Linked DNA regions of Drosophila melanogaster. The protein of the gene in region 1 interacts with the protein of each later gene in a pairwise test. Each region holds a gene or a part of one and is shown in the gene's direction. Other genes may lie near its edges.

The links.
Region 2: the proteins of Cpr49Ah (region 1) and Nup133 interact in a two-hybrid assay, tested with the Drosophila melanogaster proteins (one large-scale study listed by BioGRID).
Region 3: the proteins of Cpr49Ah (region 1) and CG10254 interact in a two-hybrid assay, tested with the Drosophila melanogaster proteins (one large-scale study listed by BioGRID).

What each region holds. Positions count from the first base shown.
Region 1 is NT_033778.4:12,411,947-12,415,699, forward strand, and holds Cpr49Ah (cuticular protein 49Ah), read left to right. Parts: upstream 1-2,015; 5' UTR 2,016-2,115; coding exon 2,116-2,127; intron 2,128-2,346; coding exon 2,347-2,907; 3' UTR 2,908-3,224; downstream 3,225-3,753.
Region 2 is NT_033777.3:22,688,513-22,692,265, forward strand, and holds the start of Nup133 (nucleoporin 133kD), read left to right. Parts: upstream 1-2,094; 5' UTR 2,095-2,187; coding exon 2,188-2,363; intron 2,364-2,418; coding exon 2,419-2,593; intron 2,594-2,653; coding exon 2,654-3,157; intron 3,158-3,208; coding exon 3,209-3,521; intron 3,522-3,576; coding exon 3,577-3,753. Other genes in the region: wfs1 (wolfram syndrome 1), read right to left, coding at 1-1,505, 1,563-1,661, 1,721-1,784. UniProt on the Drosophila melanogaster protein: Probable component of the nuclear pore complex (NPC). Plays a role in NPC assembly and/or maintenance.
Region 3 is NT_033777.3:23,692,984-23,696,736, reverse strand, and holds the start of CG10254 (uncharacterized protein), read left to right. Parts: upstream 1-1,753; 5' UTR 1,754-1,784; intron 1,785-2,010; exon of another isoform or gene 2,011-2,211; 5' UTR 2,212-2,288; coding exon 2,289-2,714; exon of another isoform or gene 2,715-2,731; intron 2,732-2,875; coding exon 2,876-3,138; intron 3,139-3,197; coding exon 3,198-3,402; intron 3,403-3,589; coding exon 3,590-3,753. Other genes in the region: prt (portabella), read left to right, coding at 52-144; CG10252 (uncharacterized protein), read left to right, coding at 575-593, 655-873, 934-1,120, 1,192-1,456.

The sequences.
Region 1 (3,753 bases):
GAATATTTATGGCCAGCAACGTGGTTCTGTTAGCCAAGTTGGCTCTCTGCCATAAAGCCAAATCCGAACGGAATGGAACGGAACCCAAATGTCAAATGTTGTTCATAAGAACGACAAATGCTAAGAATGTAAGGGTGAAATCGTTTGACATTTGCAGATGCTGCAATTTCCCCATGCCGGCAGCAACAGGTCAATGTGTGAGTGGGCCACAGTTGTGGGTAGTGGGATGGGGGTTCGGTTTCATGGTGAGCATTTGCGCATCTGTGGTGGTGCACTCGAAAGCTAACCTTGCCCAGCTTTCGTTTTTTATTTTCATTTTCGCCCGTGCGTGGAACTGCAACTCTACGAGTTGCACAACCTGCAATGCATCATCAGCAACAGCAGCAACATCACCACACACGGCAGCAACATTGCAAACCGGGGGCTTGGCGGGCGTTTGACTTGGTGTCGTGGGTGCGGAAGACGAAGAGTTGGCCAAAATACGATGGCCCAGAGGGAGGAGGAGTCGTTTGTCGCAATAGGCGTTGGAGTTTGGCAGCATTTCGGGCTTTATTGCCGGCACTTCGTCGGTTGTTGCACTCGCTGTATATTGTCCCTTGCAAGTTGATCGTCTCCTATGATTGAATTTTTCTCTTATTTCTTACAACGCCTAATATTTGTTTATTTGTTATCTTTGGCCGAAAATGCACTGTAGATTAACCCAATTGTTTGGCAACTAATTAACATTTGCCAAGACACGGGCCCGCTTTGAACTCAATTATCGTCTTGCCTCATCTGCCAGGCACTTTGGCTGTTACAACAATTCGCGCTTCGCTGGTGTTGGTATTGGGTCCGCCAAACTGCCGCAATTACAAGAATGCGAATCCAAATCTAAGTCCGAGTGCGAATCTCAAAATGAATCCGAAACCGAAGCCGCGAGGGAGCAGCATCTTGGATGCACTTCAAATGCGATTCAGTCGCAAGAGAGAGAGAGAGAGAGAGCCGACTGTCGCTTTTGGCCAAGTCAACAACGAAAGCAAAGCAAAAAAAACTCGTTCTGGCATGTTTCTAAATAACGGCATTGCGAAGATGAACGACCGGACGCGCTGGCGGGGGACGGACATTTCGCAGACATTTGAGCCGGGCCTACGAGCGGGCCAAATACGAACAGCGACAATAAGCCGGGCTAAGATGGGTGCCGGTATAAAAGGGGCTTAACAAGGCAAAACGACTCTTCATAAATAAGTAATATATAAGAAAGTTTAATAGATAAGATATTTTTAATATAAAATGTTTAAAAAAAACATTTCATAAGAATTTTCTTGCGTTAAAACAAAAGACTTAGGAAACGAACTTGTTATTTCAATAAAGTATCCCAAGATTAGGGCATGAGAAAAAGGGAAAAGGTCAGAAGCTATTAAAATTAAACATTTTTAGAGCTGATTTTGCTTTGCGAAAAGAAATAATTTGTTTTTTACTGTGTGCGCATTTGCAATTTTTTCGTTTTTTTTTCATTATATAATAATGACGGTATCAAATTTTACAAAAGGCGAACACAAATTATTAATCCAAAATTATTATGGAATGTTAGCTTTATCCTTATAGTTTGTCATAGTTCTGGATTCCTTTTAAAATCATACTGCCTCAGCCTCTGAAAAAGCCTCAAACGAGAGCGACAGTGAATTGTTTTTTTTTTTACGATTTTAGCATTTAAGCGTCGTCGAGCCTACGAACAACAATTACCGATCGGTCGGATCAGACAGCTAACAAAAAATAAGAGCTTCCATGGCAAATTCCACTTCCACTCCCATCCCCTCCCATCTTCATCGGCAACTGCAACTGCATATCCATCTGCAACTTCATCTCCATTAGAAACTCCATCACCAGCAGAAATAGCAAATGCACGCTCTCCCATGGAGGCTCACCTGTGTGGGTATGGACACGAGTGCAACAGGAGGATCGGATCGGGTCGGAGCAGAGCGAATCGCCTATATAAGACCAAAATAGGGCCGCGCTTGGCACAGTGTCTAACGGAGCTGCTTTCACTAGCCAGTGCGATCAGTGCCAGCCAAACGGGCGACAAAGCGGGCCAAATCAGTGGAATACAGTGGATAAGCGGCAGAGACTCCTTGCGAAATGAAAGTGCTCGTAAGTGGTTCACATAACCAATCACATAAAATCGGTCAAGTGATTCTCGATGAATGATTGGCAAACATTGCAACAGTTCGATCTTCTCAAATATAAAATTTATTGGTTTACATTACATCTAAAGGATAGGATTAAATATTCTTTTTTGTGATTACTTTGTTTGGAAATCGTAATGACTTGCATGTGTTAGTAAGCTTAAGCTAATATTTATCCTTTCAGATACTTCTTGTGCTGTTGGCCATTTCCTGCCAAGGACAACACCACCATCAACATCAGCACCAAAATGTGAACAACATACCACGCGATGACAAACCAGATCATCATCGTCATGAAGATCACAGAGAGACCAGCACCTGGATACCCATAATCAAGTACAACAAGGAGCAGAGTGACGATGGAAGCTACAAGACAGAATACGAGACGGGCAATAGCATCATTCATGAGGAAACCGGTTTCCTCAAGGACTTCGACACCAATCCAAATGGGGTGTTGGTTCAGCATGGCCAGTACTCCTACCAATCCCCCGAGGGAACTCTGGTCAATGTGCAGTACACGGCCGACGAGAATGGATTCAGGGCCACAGGTGATCACATTCCTACTCCGCCGGCTATTCCCGAGGAGATACAGAAGGGTTTGGATCAGATCTACGCTGGCATTAAACTGCAGCAGGAGCGTCTGGAGCAGAGGGCCAAGACAGATCCAGACTTTGCGAGGAAACTGGAGGAGCGACGCGTGGCCAACCAGAATGGCCAGTACATCGGTCTGCTGGAGAACCAATAGACGAGCTCCGCCCATTCCATTCCCCCACCGAACCGATGATCCTGGAAACGTAACTTCTTCGCATTCTATATCAACAACAACAAGACTGTGATTTCATTCTGCAAGCTCTTCCAAATCCAAATCGCTGTACCACACTGAATGATAATCGTTTAATAACTTTTGAATTTCCCACTAAGTACCATAAAACCAACAGACAGGGGCGCTCAATCAAATTAATAATATTTTATTAACGAGTGTGAAAGTTTCGCTGCTTTGAAACAATAAAAGTAAACTAACGTTTCCATTATGCCGAACCGACTTGATGATGGACTTACCATATTTTCTGGCATTATTTTTTTCCGTTTTACAGCTGACCATATCCACGATGTTCAGACAAACGTGACAAAGCGTTTATGGGTCCTCATTATTTTCTCAAAGTATTTCCCCATTTACCGTGCATCTTTCGTTGCTTTATTATTTACTTCGCAGATCGAATTACGTTAGTTTGTTGATCCCATTCCATGCAGGTTGGGTTTTCCAATTTTCCATATTTCTACATCGCCGCCATGGAAATTTTCTTTCGAGAGGAGTCTCTCGACTGGTTGCCAGTTGCATAATTACGACAGATTTTCCAGTGCCATTCGACTTGTCTTCGCGGGCAGGCGTTGCATGTGGAAAGGCTGAGGAAGCCAGTTGAAGTGGTCCACGAATGGGTTACTGGCGTAGCCCCGATTTCGCGCCGAGAAACCTCTTCGTTCTGCCAATTATTGTATTTAACGTAGGCTACCTTTACCGTTTGGCATTTCGAATGGAGTAGCCCTTGGCTACGCAAATATTGAAACCAAAAACCACTGTCATCAGGTTGAA
Region 2 (3,753 bases), on another chromosome or scaffold:
CACTACCAGCCCGCAGGCGAGAGCTGTGCTGCCCCACCGAAGCTGCTCACTAGCCAGTCCTAAACTATCGATGGCCACGAAGACAGGCACCAGAAGTGCCACGATTCCGAACAGAGGCAGGAACAGGACGATTCCAGCCAAGCCGAGGGCTGCTCGCATCACTCCAAAAACGGTGGAACTCTGCGAGGTGGCTATGCACACTTGCAGCCAACTGAGCGTGACGCAGTGCGGGATGAGGAATGTGTAGACTCCATGCCAACGGGAGCGTTTGGCCATCATAATTAGCAGCACCGGAATAAAGAGATACAAGGCAGTGCGGCAATTCAAACAGAATTCAATGCCATTGCCAATGACAAACGATGAGAAAGTAGGTACGCGTAGGTCAAGAAAGCGCCAGCGCGTAGACACAACCTCGTCCATTTCGTACGGATATTTGGCAAGAACATTTACGGCAAAGGAAACAATCACTAGCCAGTCAGGCAGTTGGTGGGAGGAGGCGTACATGGACACGCACATGGTGATGAAGGTCAAGGCTCCAGAGATTATAGTCAGCTCCGAGTGTGGCAGCCAGGCGTCTGTGACCAACGGGTAGACAATCAGGTTGCAAATGAAGGCACAAAAGAAGTACAGGTACGGCTTCATATTGTTGCGTAAAAAGCGATGCTCCGCAATGTCCGCCTCGATGTTCTGATCCCCGTAGCTCAGGAACAGTCCCGACCAGATGCGAAAGTCCACGAACTGTTGTTTGGTTTTCAGCATCTTACACGTGGCCCAGATCATGATGCCCAGACTGAGATAATAGCTGACCAGGGGCAGCATATGCCGGCTGCTCCACCAAGAGATTGCAACGAGCACGCTGCAGCGCACGCTCAGAGGGATGACGTTGGGTATGGACACAATCAAGTTAAGCAGCCGGTGGTAGAACAGGGTGAAGAAGATAAGCGGGTGGAAGATCATGCGGTAGAAGCAGGGTACATGGTCCAAGCTCCTAGGATCCGGGACGGATAATGTGAGAGCATCATTAACGCTGGGCATTTGTCCGGCACTGTAATTGGAAGCTGCCGAAACGAGGTGAGCTTCGGTGATGAGGCGGCGTCGCTCCACATTGGCTAGGTCAATGGTGGGCACATCTTCGAGCGGTTCGCACTCCGGCTCCTGCTCGCCCTCGCTGCTCGACGAGGAGCGGTCATCATCGCGTCGACGCCGCTTGCGTTGCAGATTGTAGATGCGCCGCATTTTGCGCTCCAGCTGCTTGGGCGTTATATGCTCGTTTCCATTTGATAGGCAGGCAAAAAGCTCCCGGGCTGCTTTTCTGGCAGCCCGCTCACCAGGCGTCATAGCCAGGCAGCGACGCACTTCGTCCGTATTCTCTGCCGTAATACCGCTGCCATCGTTGTAGCACTGGCGTAGCAGCTTGACTGCATCCTCGTGTCCATTGTGTGCTGCACTCACCAGCCAGTTGACGGCCTTCTGGCTCTGATTGCCTTTGGCAAGATTGGGCTCTACTGCGGACATAGCAATCTTCATTATCTTGTAATTCTCGAGCAAATCCTTACACTCACCTATGGAATTATCGAGTAACTCTTTGGCCAGATCGTATTGCATCTGGGGGCATCCCTCCTCGGCGATGTGATGCTTAAGTTTGTTCAAGGAGGCACGATCTGTAAGGGAAAACATCTTCACTTTATGAACGTGTATCAATCAAAGCTCAGAGATTTACCTTCCAGATTCCAACGCCTGCGCTTGGTGACACCTGTCGGCTCATTTTGCGTCCAGGTGGCCATCTATGTCGAGTTTTTCGCTTTGTTTACGAAAATCTATGAAATAATTCTAGTCTTGACTTAGCGATGGCATCGTGTAGAACTTGTCTTAGAGATGGACTCACAAATATTAGTTAATATAATTATTAATTTAAAAATTTGTTTACCAAAGTTTAATTATTCATCGTATATAGTATATAAAATACATTTATGTAGTATAAATAATTTCCTATATTTAAATTTGTGTTCTTTGTGTATAATGTCGTGACTTCTAATCGATAAATAACTCAAATGTACTCAGCTGTGATTTCGATATTGCGACATCAAAAATCGATTCACACACATGCCGGCTAGATTGTTTGCTGTTGCAAAAGTAGTTGTTTATTTTTGATTTATAGGCATTTCCCAAATAAGAGCCAGCACAAAAATGGAGAGAAATCTGCAGAAGCAATTATACGGCATATCGCGCGAATCTTCACCAGGTGCACGAAGGTACAGCATGCCAGCAGCCTCGGCAGACAGCACGCGTAAATCAATTTTTGGCGGCAGCGCCAGTTGCGCCCAGATGTCGGGGAGCCTCAAAAGGACTGCCCTGACCAACAGGTATGTGCTAACTTATTCTCCTGGAATTTCCCACTCATCAAACAATCCTTTTCAGCCGGCTCAGCTTGTCGGTGCGTTCCACTCAGTCCATTGCCGGCATCCGATCCGATTACAATTCGGTAGAGAGCTTCGGTTGTCCACTGCCGGTGGTGGTCAATGAGGCACTAACCTTCGCAGGTCCAGGAGCGGGCACAGTAACAGCCAAAGTGACGCAAAACGGTTGGGCTTGGGTAATATATCAGCAACTCTCATTGTATCTGGTTCAGCAATCAGTACGATTACCTTTTCAGGTTGTCCAAGGCAGACGCCTCTTGATTTGGCAGTATAAGGACACGGCCAAGTCGGGCTCGCCACCTCGTGTGGGCAAACTGGCAAGACGTGGTGGTGGTCTGGCCCAGTGCCGTGAATTGACTTTACCTTACAGTGACCTGGGTCACAAGAGTGATTTAATCAGTGTTTTCCAGACGGAGGGTCAGCAAATGGCCTCCTGCATAGCGGTATCAGCCACGGGAGAAGTTCGGTACTGGTCATCGATTGCGCACGATGGGAACTCCGTGGATCTTTCCATCTTAACTGGCCAAGAGTTTGTCCAGCTGCTCAGTCTACCAACGCAGCAGGGCTACCTAGCCGTTACAACCACCTGCAATCTGGTATTCCTGCGAGTCGGACTGACCAACGGACGTTACACACTTCACCATAAGACTATCAAGCCTGCCACTAGCTTCCTTGGTGGTTTTGGCAAAAAGTTTGCCTCCATTTTGATTGGAATGAACACGGGTGCAGACAAGGATCAAGTAAGTATCTTCGTCCAGCATGGGACAAAAATCTCATGAAGTGTTTTTTAGACTTTGGTCGGCATGTGCTGCGAGAGCAATTTAGAAAGTGGAGAAACCATTGTGGCCGTGCTCTCTGATCGTGCAATCCAGCGCTGGAGTCTGTCCAACAATGGCAACACCGAAAACCTTCTGTACGAGGATGCGGATATGTTGCGCAGGATACGCGAAGAGTTTATAACGAACTTTTGGAAGTTCCGACTCCCAGCGGATAGTTTGGAGATCGATCTCCATCTGTTGGACTTTCACGTGGTTAAGAACAAAGCTTATATACTGGCTGGAGCTGTGAATGCTGCTCACGCTCCACAAATGTGCTACGCTCTGGGTAAGAAGTATGTGACAGCAAATCTTGATATGGTATATAATGTTAAGTATTTTAGTGACTGGCACTGCTCAAGCTGAAAGAATGCTTCTGGAATCGTTCACGCCGCTCAATATGAACAAATTCTTTAGTGCCAAGACTGAGGAGGATTGCCTCAGCGTGCGTTTTGTAGTAGGCAGCAGCCACATCTATTTGTATACTTCTAAAGTTGTGTATCCTCTGCACTTGACCAACT
Region 3 (3,753 bases), on another chromosome or scaffold:
ATATTTTTCGATTAAGCCGTCACTATTTATATGTGTTTTTTTTTTTAACAGGCCCTTAGGGAACAGCATAATGATATGCTGCTCCAAAGCAGCGGGCGGGGATCTAGGTATAAACAACTTTACAACTCCATGGATGTGGAATAAGCTGTACTGCCCAGTTGTCCAGCAAAATAGCAAACAACCTTGAGTGTGCAAATAAGGCGTTCCTTTGGCTCAATAAAGCAATATATCTGGAGCTGATTTTCGTAAACAATTTATTTTTCCGATAAAATTCGAATCTCCTATTATTAAAATCACTTTGCCATGTCTTGAAGTAACTTAGGTTATTATGATCAAATTTTCGGAATAAAAAGAATTACGTAATTAATATTTGAATGGGTTATGTGTGAAGGAATTACGGTGGTAAAACTTTTCTATAACAAGTGTGCTATGGCTCTGACTTCGAATGGAGCTGCGATGTGAAGTTCTATGAAAGCCTCATTCTGCTACTGGAATCTGTTCGGCCAACACCTAATATTGGGTTCTAAATTTTCAAAATAGATTTTCTTTCTAATATTGCACAAAACTAACAAAAATGGCGGTGCGACCTTTTGGTGAGTGAGAATTCATAAAATTGTAATGTGGTAAATAATATATTATACATGCTTTTTGTAGGCCCTGGACCCGGCGTTTACATGCTGCCCCCCACTGTGGGCTATGATAAGCATGACAACCGCAAACAGCGGTTGCCGCAGTACTCTTTCGGCATGCGCACCCGTGCTCCTGGTGAGGATCTGGGTCCTGGTCCAGGGGCCTACAAGGTGGACAAGTTGACTCGCTATGGCACGAGCAAGGGTTTGGAGTTCTCGATGGCGCCCAGAACCAATGTCATCGGTAAGATAACTTATTAGTACTGAAGACAAGAACGTTTTTGGTTAAATTGCTTAATCGTAGATAAGCGAAGCAGTCCCGGTCCGGGAGCACACGATGTTCATAATAGGCCATTCTTTAAGGGGGTTAATGCTCCTTCGTATTCGATGGGCCTACGAACGGACTTTAACTTCAAGAAGGATGGTCCCGGTCCCAATGCCTACAAGTACGAGGTCAATGCCGTTCGTCCTGGAGTCCCGAGCTATAGCATGTGCGTATTTCAATCCTACCATAGTTATTCCTTTACTAAGTTGCCTATTTTTATTTGTACCTGTATCTCAGGGGACTACAAACAAAGATTTTGAACAAGACGAATTCTCCGGGTCCGGCTGCATATGGCGGTGGTGATATCAATGTCAAACTGACACGTGCTCCGATATACTCGATGCAGCCGCGCACCACTATTCCGGGCGAGAATGTCGGACCTGGACCCAACTACTACGACCTCATGTACTATCGTCCTGGCAAGAGTGGACCGGGCTACTCCTTTGGTGTGCGCCACCACCAGTTCGCTCCGCCTATGATAGTTAGATGTGACAATATGTAGACCAAGTGCAATATTGGAAGAAATATATGCTAAAATTTTTGTGAATAAACAATTCTTTTTAAACCAAGTTTCATTGTTTATGGAAAATGCTTAACGGGGTATTAAAATGAGATTGAATTTGTTTTAACTTGGTAGAACGCAATGAGCGTTACCTTTATTGGAAAAGGAAGGGAGCATTTTGATGCTAGTGCGCCTATGATGTGATACACTTGGCTCTGTACATGTCTAAAATACAAGTAGTCCCTGAACGATGTGTCAAATTAACATTTGATAATAGAAATTTTTGGAAAAAGCACATTTACATTTACATTATTATATCAACGTAACGGTGAGTTTTTAGGCAGACAACAACACGCGTTACTATTTTACGGAATTGAGAGTAACTGAATTTGTATTTAGACTATCCCATTTCAATTTCGCGGGCAAATGCTCATCTTGTTTCAACCGTTGTTTTCTCTTAACAGAGCGCTGTTATCAAGATAATGGTTCGAGTGCTCGCTTAAAGGCACTGGAACTCGGAACCATTGATTTTATCTAACTCCGGTATTTTTCAGTCACAAAATTCTTTTTATCAAAGTTTCTCGTTTTGTTTGTAGATTTTGCCTGTTTTATTTATAGTTTTTCGAAAGAAGTTGGCGAAATTGTCCAAGCAAATTTATAGTTTGCTCCAGTGTCCGTAAATTAGATGTGTGTTTGTGTGTCAGTGGCTCGTCGGGCATATTATAGGAATTTGTAATAATTAGTGGCCAATAAAGGGAGAAGAAATATATTCACCGAGCATTCGCCACGGCAAAGTTCTTGCCGTCCATGTTCCCAGCTTACGATTGGTAACATGATGAGCGATGTGGCGGGTGCGGCCGCTCCAGGTGGTACACCAGGTCAACCGCAGCAGGAGCAGGAACAGTCTTTGGCGGAGGCTGCTCCGCGTACACCGACGCTTGCGAATCCTCCTCCATCCTCACAGGAGCTGGGTCGGACCCCCAACCAGGAGAGCCGCCATAACGCAAATTCCCACTCCCGTCGATCGGGTGGTGGCCAGGTGCCATCGAAAGCCCAGGGTAACACCGAGTCCCAGTTCTTCTTAGAGGATGGGGTTTTTCGCATTGATCGGCGCGGTCGCGTCCATTTTGGCTTGGTAACCGCAACGACCGAGACCTATTCCTCCTCCGAAGAGGAAGATGTCGATTCGCTGTCCAGGGGCGAGGTGCGTGTGGCCTTCTATCCGGGTGGCAAGGAGATGGTGATGACGGAACAGTCGGTGAGTAAACTCCATTGAGGTTATGTAAGTCTCACGGTCTCTCCAAAAAAATAACTGTTTTCACAACTGTTTTGAGTTTGCTCTTCAAGTTCTTTTGACACGTGTTTGTTTGCTTCTTTTCTTTTGTTCCATCGACATCCGAACATGTGGCATATACACAGATTGGTCTGGCGGATCGCACCCTAATGCCAGGCGATGTGGTGCGGAGGCGTCTGCCAGGAGAAAACGTTTTGGCTGGCCAGGCGGGCTACGTGCGGGATGTCAATGTACGCGCCGATGTTATGGTAATGGGCTCCAGAATGGTCATTAAAAATGTGCCCGCCGAGCGACTGCGTCCGATATCCGAGTGGAACCAATATGTGCCTCTCTGCATGGACACCTGGATAGGCACCATCATAGACATTAATGAGTGCGCTGTGCTCAAGTATGTTTCATATCTCTCAATCAACTCGGGCGAACATTATTTTCAATATTTTTTTGCAGATCATCCAACGGTGCCCGTGTGGAAATCACCTCCAACGATTTCCACAAGTTTAAGGATGCTGTGTCCGAATGCGATCGCACGGTCTTCAATCCGAATGTCTTCTTTCCAGGAAACATTGTAATCGGTCGCATGCCGCCCCCGGATCGTGTCAAGAATCTGACCCCGGAGATTACCCATCCCTTAACTCGCAAGGGTCGTGCTGTGGTAGGGAGATATTAATCCTTTATAGATTTGTAGTCTCAGATTGACCGATTGTATATACTAGTTACGCTATTATTTTATGTAGCATTCGCCCTAGTTTGATTTGTCATAGTAGATTAATTACATTTTTACTTAACTAAAGAAGGCCCTCCCATACTATCGCTAATTGAAAATAACCTTATTTATCCAGTACACCGTGGAGTCTGTAGAAACTACATCAATTAATGTGGATTGGTCCTGCCGTGCAATCGGAAATGCCACGGGCAGCGATGACACAGACAGCGATCCTCTAAAGGAGCCAAGGTCCTTGATCAAGGGTGAGGAACTGCACAAAGTCAAGCGCCTTAGCCTCTA